Linked DNA regions of Xenopus tropicalis. The protein of the gene in region 2 interacts with the protein of the main gene of each other region in a pairwise test. Links are inferred from orthologs where the notes say so. Each region holds a gene or a part of one and is shown on either strand. Other genes may lie near its edges.

Evidence for each region. The genes of interacting proteins can lie anywhere in the genome.
Region 1: the proteins of klc1 (region 2) and bnip2 interact in binary tests that used the Homo sapiens proteins (3 or more experiments, as listed by UniProt). The two-hybrid records come from large-scale screens. The link is inferred for Xenopus tropicalis from reciprocal best matches to the Homo sapiens genes KLC1 and BNIP2.

What each region holds. Positions count from the first base shown.
Region 1 is NC_030679.2:96,408,831-96,412,486, reverse strand, and holds part of bnip2 (BCL2/adenovirus E1B 19 kDa protein-interacting protein 2), read right to left. Parts: coding exon 3,610-3,656; intron 2,337-3,609; coding exon 2,234-2,336; intron 1,341-2,233; coding exon 1,209-1,340; intron 886-1,208; coding exon 799-885; intron 707-798; coding exon 608-706; intron 1-607.
Region 2 is NC_030684.2:98,511,941-98,516,055, reverse strand, and holds the start of klc1 (kinesin light chain 1), read right to left. Parts: upstream 2,870-4,115; 5' UTR 2,712-2,869; intron 2,439-2,711; exon of another isoform or gene 2,416-2,438; intron 1-2,415. UniProt on the Homo sapiens protein: Kinesin is a microtubule-associated force-producing protein that may play a role in organelle transport. The light chain may function in coupling of cargo to the heavy chain or in the modulation of its ATPase activity.

The DNA.
Region 1 (3,656 bases), on a different chromosome or scaffold from region 2:
TGCACTCCTGTGCAGGAAGTCTGCCCATATTGCAAAATGCTTATTATGGAGGCACCTATATGCAAAAAATTGCATAGAAATGCTAAACTAAACAATTTTGAATTAAACAATGATAAGGGGATATTTATACACAATCAGTATAGATATATGTCAATAGTAAATTGCAATGTATATGAGCAAATTATATCTCTTTGAACTTTACTTTATTTTCTAAATTCTTAGTAATTCCTTTTTATTGTGTCCTTCGGTATCCATTATACATTTTGTGCACATTGCCTTAAAGATTTGCATATAATTTAGTGACAAAACTTCCTAATATCAGTATTATTTGATATTGCAGTTTATAAACCATACAGTAATGGTTAAAAACAAGTAATCAAATATGTTTTATAGGACAAACAATTAGAATCTTGGTTATTCCTTGTACCCAATTATTTATGTTAAAGGCAATTTGGCAGCAGGAAAAGAAATATCACACTTATAGCAATCAATGTAGCACAGAGCTGTTTGCCTTTCTAATATTAAACCATATATTATCATATAACTGTCTCAAACTAAGTTTCTAACTACACAATGACAAATGAAATAAACAAAGAACATTACATACTCTTTTATGCATTCCGGTATGCTGACGTACTCCATAGGAATAAGTTCTGCTAATTCAACCAAGCTAAAGACATATTTAATTTTCTGGCTGAATTTTGAGCTAAAAACAAAATAAAACAACAATGGTTATTATGGTAGCTACTGTAGTAATATAATAATTAAATATAGAAGATCAGATTTCATTTCTATTACCTAATGAAGGGCTTTGTGATAGCTAGAAGTGTTCTGATAAACCAGGAAGGGTGTACTATGATCAAAGACTTGAGATTTTTCCGTAACCTTTTATAAAGAAAGACAAGCATTTGATTAGGCCACATGAAAATAAGTCTAGCAAAATTGAAAAATATATATAACCGTTGACCAGTAGAGTGCACATTTGTGCATCTTTGTTCAGTGCAGTTAAGTCACATACTTGATTGCTCAGGCTTTAGGCAAATCCTAATCTTTAAAAAAAACTTCTGGGATTCTGTGAATTCCAAACTGTATTCTGGTTTCTGTGCTTCCCTAACAACAGATTGACCTGAATGCATTAGCATTCAAATACATAATTCAACTTACATCTGTAACTGTAGCCCCCAATTTATTTGATGCTTTAGACATACCTCCTATCAATTTGTTGATAGCATTTCCTAAGCCATCCTAGGCTAGGCATTTTCCTCCGCGTTGTGGCTCCATTTAAATAAACTATCATGTAGTTTTCTGCAACTAACATTTCCAAAGTGCCAATAACATACCTGATGAATAAGCAGAGATACTTATTATTATTGAAAAATAAAAATACAAAACTGGGAACAAAATCAAAAAGACACAGCAAAAAAAAAAGGGGTAAAAAGCTGGTTGCATAGTACTAACAATCACCTAAATAAAATGGGGAACAGAATGAATGAAGCGTAGCAAAAAGGAATAAAGTTGGTCACAAACTACCAAGCACCAAATTCTCTGTGTGGATCCACAACCAAGTTAGTCTAACAGCTGCAAAGCAATGTGGCTGCAATAGAGATGATTACAAAAAAATAAGAATACAAAATTTTGGTCTGCTAATATGAGCCCCAATGCCATTTATGGGGTCACCAGGAACAAGATGGGGCCACCATTTCTTAGTGGTCTCATCATTCTGCCCAATATGTGCAGTTTGGACAACCACACGTGGGCAGTATTACACAAAAGGACCAAGACTTCATTAATCACCTTCTGTTTCTAATCTGTGTGGTAAATTATGACCCCCTTACTTAATATAAGTATATTCAATGTTACTGAGGGGCTTCAAAGACAAGATGCTGCAGGCCGAGTGCTTTGCATGCCCTATGGAACTTTGAGGTGCCTTCTAATATGCATATAATTTAAATGAGGGGTATATTTGTTTTTATGACACTGGCTTTTTTATTTTTTTTTACCAACATTGGACTAATGAAAAGCAACAGCTGTTCAGTGTTAGTAGAGCCCAGGTGCTTCAAGTAACACAACTGACACCAAAGAGCAGCACCAATAACTAACAACATCACTAAACAGTTTCCAAGGACATATTCTACAGGCTACACATGGCTAGTGAAATATAAAGTATTTAGTATATAATTCTTTATATACAATCGTACTGATATAGATAATAAATACAGAATGCAATACTCACTTAAATAGATTGTCCATTAGGTAGCGATAATTAGGTTGACCACTATCAGGCATAAAGCACACAGCAAACACTATAATTGCATTTAATCCATCTCCATAATAACCTTTAATGAAAATAATTATAATAAGTCAGTGGAAGAGAAACACAGGTTTTTCATTTTCTAGATCTTTTCATTTGTGTAATAAAATATGTTTGTGCAGAGGCATAACTACAGAGGGAGCAGACCACATTTGTGGATTATATATTGAATAATGTACCCCCTTATTTTTCCATGACCATATAGCACAAGGCTGAAATGCTCTTATACAGGTCATGGAACTTTGAGGTGACTTCTAATATACGCATATTTTAGCACAAGGGGTGCATTATTTATTATAATACACAAGTTTCAATGAGTCAAGTGAAAATACAACACTTTGACATTAAAGGAGAATGCAAGTCAAAATTTAAAAAGCATACTGCCCAATAGTCCTCCTATTGTTTAGTAAAAACACCACACTTTTGGCTCACCTAATCAAATATTTACTCAGTCACACTTACTTCACATTTTCTAGAACAGGCAGCCATCTCTAAAAAGGTATTCTCCCTTCCTTTCCCTCCTTGCTTCATACTGCACGTGTTTCATTCCCTCCCCCCCTCCCCTCTGCCAGATCCACTTCTGATTGGCTGGTGGGCATGTGTAGCTCAGAACAGGAGACAGGATCAAGTTACACACATGCTCAGAGAATGGGAAGGCTGCCGCTGGCTGTAGGCTGTAGGCTGCCAGCACCATATCTCAGAGAAGCAAGCAGGGATCTGGGAATTTGGATATGCAGTAAGTACTTAAAAAGAATGCCTTTAGACTTACTTTTAATTTATATTAACCTTTCATTGTCCTTTATAAGTCATTATAATTGATCCCATTACTAGGTACAATTTATAAAGATATAATTAACAGAGTATTCTGGGCTTTTCTATCTATCTATCTATCTATCTATCTATCAAATAATACAACATCTTCTAATCATATAAAACTGCACTCACAGGTCAATGATGTAAAGTAAAAAAAGTGGTAATTTATATAGTTAGTCTCCTTTTTTTTTAACCTAATATCAATTTGAAGCTTGTGCTGCTATTTTGCGATCCACCTCCTTCCCAGGAGGCAGAGCGTGCTATTTATTTGCCATTGCACTAACTACCAGCAATGATTATGCATTAGAGATCTCATTACATACTTTGTATAGATCCAAAGTGTAGCCCTCACACTAAAATCACACATGTTTCTCAGTGCATTGCCGCAAAGGTAATACTGAAATTACTATTTAAATAATAATAATATAAAATGAGTGCATGGTTTTATTGTGAGCAGAAGATTACATGTAAGTACCTCTTCTTACCTCCATGGCTAATAACTTTTTTATATGGTTCTATGGCAGTCATATCA
Region 2 (4,115 bases):
ATGCAAGCTGAGATTTGCAGTTCCAAAGGGATTCAGTACGAGTATGCCCATAATGCAAGTGTGTATGCTCCCTATTTTAGCTTTTCAGTAAAAGTTTTGTTTCCTTATTTTGACATGCTAGATAGATGATAAAGATGTTGTCAGAAGACTTGCCACTAAAATATCCTACAAGGCGTTTCCTGTGAAATCTACATTGTTTGCACCAAAAGGTATGCTCTTTAAAGGGTGTGACACCTTTCTCAATACACACACAATGGGATTGTACTGCAGTTTTTCTCAAGCACAACTTAAGAAGCAGCCCATGGGAACTAACTAGTGAATATACTTAATTATACTGGATGCAAAGATCTCCAAGAGGAACATCTGCTCTCTTTTCATACAGCAGGTTATAAAGCAGGAGAAATGCAGGGCAATCCAATATAGTATGTTCAAATGTATTATTTACATGAAAAACCCAATGCATTTCATCAGGGACATCCAAAAAAGGCAGGATTATAAAACATATTCCAATGTCCTATGGTTATTACGATATAGTGTTGATGACTACAGTGCCTTTTCTGCAGAACTGAGAGAGCACAGAGACATTGTTGCAGTTAATCCAAAAAATATATTACAGTGTAGGCAGAAAGATTTTCAATTACTCCTAAAATATATATGAAAGGTACAGTGAGTAACATAAATTAAATCATATTATTACAACCTAAAGCAGCAAGACACACCCTTATATGATAATATGCAGTCTACTTATTTGAATAAAAAAAAGTAAATGGGATTTCGCATATCAGTCACAGCAAAGATTCTAGCATCCCAGTCTTGTGAGTGTTGCTGAGGAGAACCAATAAGCATACCCTTACAGGCTTGCCACAATTATCACATTGTAAGCAGTGTCAGAACACTAAGTACATAGAAGGGACACCTAGAAAAAGCCAAGCCTGCTTTTAACACCGTTACTGTGTGTGACACAGAAGTACAGGGTCCTGATGCATTCTAGCTGGAGGACTGGCAGGGTGTGTCAGATGGCTAAGGAACATACCCAGATTTAGTGGCACAAAGAGACTCTGCAATGAAGCATGGCTAGATTGATTTTCTCTCTAGCAAGCTAACTGTACATTTGAAACTGTTACATCAATATTATTCTGCAAAGTCTTCAAATTTCACGAGGTGGTTACAAGGAAGCACAACGGCAACATTGTAACTTGTCATGTTGAAAGGTATACAAAATCATATAAATCAAGACAGATCCAGCAAACGCAAAACAAATAAGACCAATAAACCATTCTGAAACTTTACAAAACACATAATAAATATATGATCTTGGCTTCAAGCTAACAATGCCCCTGCTAATTGCTCTGACGGATACAGGAAAATAAAGAAAGCAGCTCCACCAGATGAGGCAGGTGCTAAAGAGTGACTGAGTAATCGCACTGACACAGCTTAATTCCCATGGGGGGGGTAGGATACAAACTGTCAAACACTGCACACATCACTGCATCACATAGAGGAAATTTTCATTACAATATTGATTAGTACATTACATATCCATATAGGCAGAGCCTTACATTGATACCCTTTGCTAAACTATCACCAATAGTATTGATTTGCGCAATTCACATATACCTCACAAGTAGTAAGACACTAAAAAGTGTATGATTCTTTTGTTCTGCAAATCATTTTTAGCCACGACTTACTAGAATATATATTTCACAAGCCCTTTCTCTAAAACAGGATCGAAATGAAACAAATAATGTGTATTGATTTCAAACAGCCCTTTGCTCTCACTAAAATCTTTGCAAATGAAACCGAGTCATGTCTGTGAATTATCTATTTCCCATCCGTTATGGTGCCTTGTTCTATAACTGCCAACTGCATTTGCATTAAGGGCCTTTTATGCCTTATGTGGTCAGAGTGGCAATTCACAACCAAGTCTGCTCCATTAATGACTACATAAATCAAATGAATTGGTTCACATGGTGCCATCAGCTCTGAGCAGATCTGGAGTCAGGAGGGATTGCAGCATTCCCTTTCATCCCAGAAATCACGTGGCTTTTCATTTTGATGAAGTTCCAAGGTTATTTACTTATTTAAATCTTTCATATTAAAGTATTTTTTGTTTTTCTATTTATATGACCTGCCCTCACCATATATAACACCATGCCTGGAACAGCAAAGTGATAATGAAAAAGCAAAGACACAAGTGCCCAGTTGCCACAGCTGTATAAATGGCAGGAGCCTGTGCCTGGATGGAGGAATACTTGAGTCATGCAGTATAGATATATAATATATTAAGAGCTCCTTCCATATTGTTTACATGCATGCTCCACCCCTTGCTGTCTCTTGCTTGCTAGCCTGTGCTTTGATGAGAAGAACATGGCTCTTACCTAGGACCATACAAAGGATGATAGAAGCATCACTTACGGAGACACGATGTCTATTTCCTATAGGAGCGTATCCAATCAGTGGGAGCCCCCTGGCTGCTCTCCTCTCACTGCACCAAATACAGCGCCTACCCCCTTCCACCCCGAGCATCAATGATACAACAGCATATGCCCTAGCGATGCCCTCTTCCTGCCTCCTCCCTATGAAGCAGACAGAAATCTAGTACTATGTGAACTACAACTCTCGCCATTGCGAAACAGTAATAGGATATTGTCTCCCCATTGACAGACAGCGAGTCGCCGGAAGCCCCTATCCCGCATAGCCAGTCCCCATACCGTTCTGCGGTCCCTGTCAGTGCCGCCCGCAGCTGCCCTCCCAGAAATAATGAAGATGATGATGGAATCGAGAGGATGTCTGGGAGCCGCACCCAGCTGTCACAGTGACGCAGGCCGGGAATCCCAGGCCTTCCTAGCTAACAGCCGGTGATCCAGCGCTCATCCTCCTCCTGCTGTCGGTGCCCGGTATCCGCCTCTGTCTGCGCCCCAATGAAAATGGCGTTCTCCCCTCCCCGCCCACAATGCACTGCGCCGAGTCATGATGTAATGCGTCAGTCCTTAAAGGAGCAGCGCGCAAGGGAGTATTGGAAGCTGTCAGATATTTGCGGTGACCTGGGCTCCCCTTAATCTAATGCTAGCAACATTAGAGAAACAGGGGTAGTAAATTATATTTACCAGTATCTCCGAGATTACTAATTTGTTTTCAGTGCTTACATAGTTGGAATGTTCTAACCGTGACTCAGGTATCTGCTTATCGATCAGTGGCTAAAGGGCAGGACTTGGCCGGAGATCTGGATGTAATTCGGTAGAAGAGAATTATGCAACGCAGACCTTGAATAAAGCATTCCATGCTAGAGTCTAATCACTATAGTATACATACATTTTAATGGTTCACTAAAAAGTTGTGCTTATATACAGTAACATACACACACTGTGTACACCTTTCACTGTTGCACAGATATGGGGGCTCCAAAAATCTGGCTAAAACCCACCTCTACAGCCCCATGCTCACAAAGTATAACCAGTCCCGTAATGGAATACTGTTGTGGGAAAACATGTTTAACAGTTAATAGAGCTTCCCCAGCAGAGTCCTGCATTAAACTAATTTTGAAATTTCACATGGGGCTAGCCATATTCTTCATTTCCCAGGGTGCAACAGCCTTGCGACCTGTGCTCTGCGCTGATAAACTTAAGTCACACTTTACTGATGTGCTGCAAGTTGGAATTATATCAACCCACCCCCGCCCCCCAGCAGCTGATCAGCAGAACAATGTGAAGGCAGCAAGATAGCAGCTCCCAGTAGATATGAGAACAGAGTTCAATAGTAAGAAATCCAAGTCCGGCTTGGGACTCTTCCAGTTACATGGGAGTAGGAAAAACAATAGGTTACCTGAAAGCAGTTCTAATGGATAGCGCTGGAAATCCAGTGGGGGAACTGGGGGGGTTCAGGATGCACTGTGGGAGTGATGGCACACTGCATGTGATGTCACTTCCACTACGTTGGTGTGTGTGACGTCACACGTACGACGTAGGGGCATATTTAGGTCCGGTGCCTAGGTCGGCCAAATACCTAAAATTCAGCAGATCTGGGCCAGACCCGATCCCTGTTGCGTTTCACTTATGTGTGCTCAGGGGAGGACATTGGGTGGGCGGCGGAGGCTCCTGCAGGGGAGTTACGGGGGC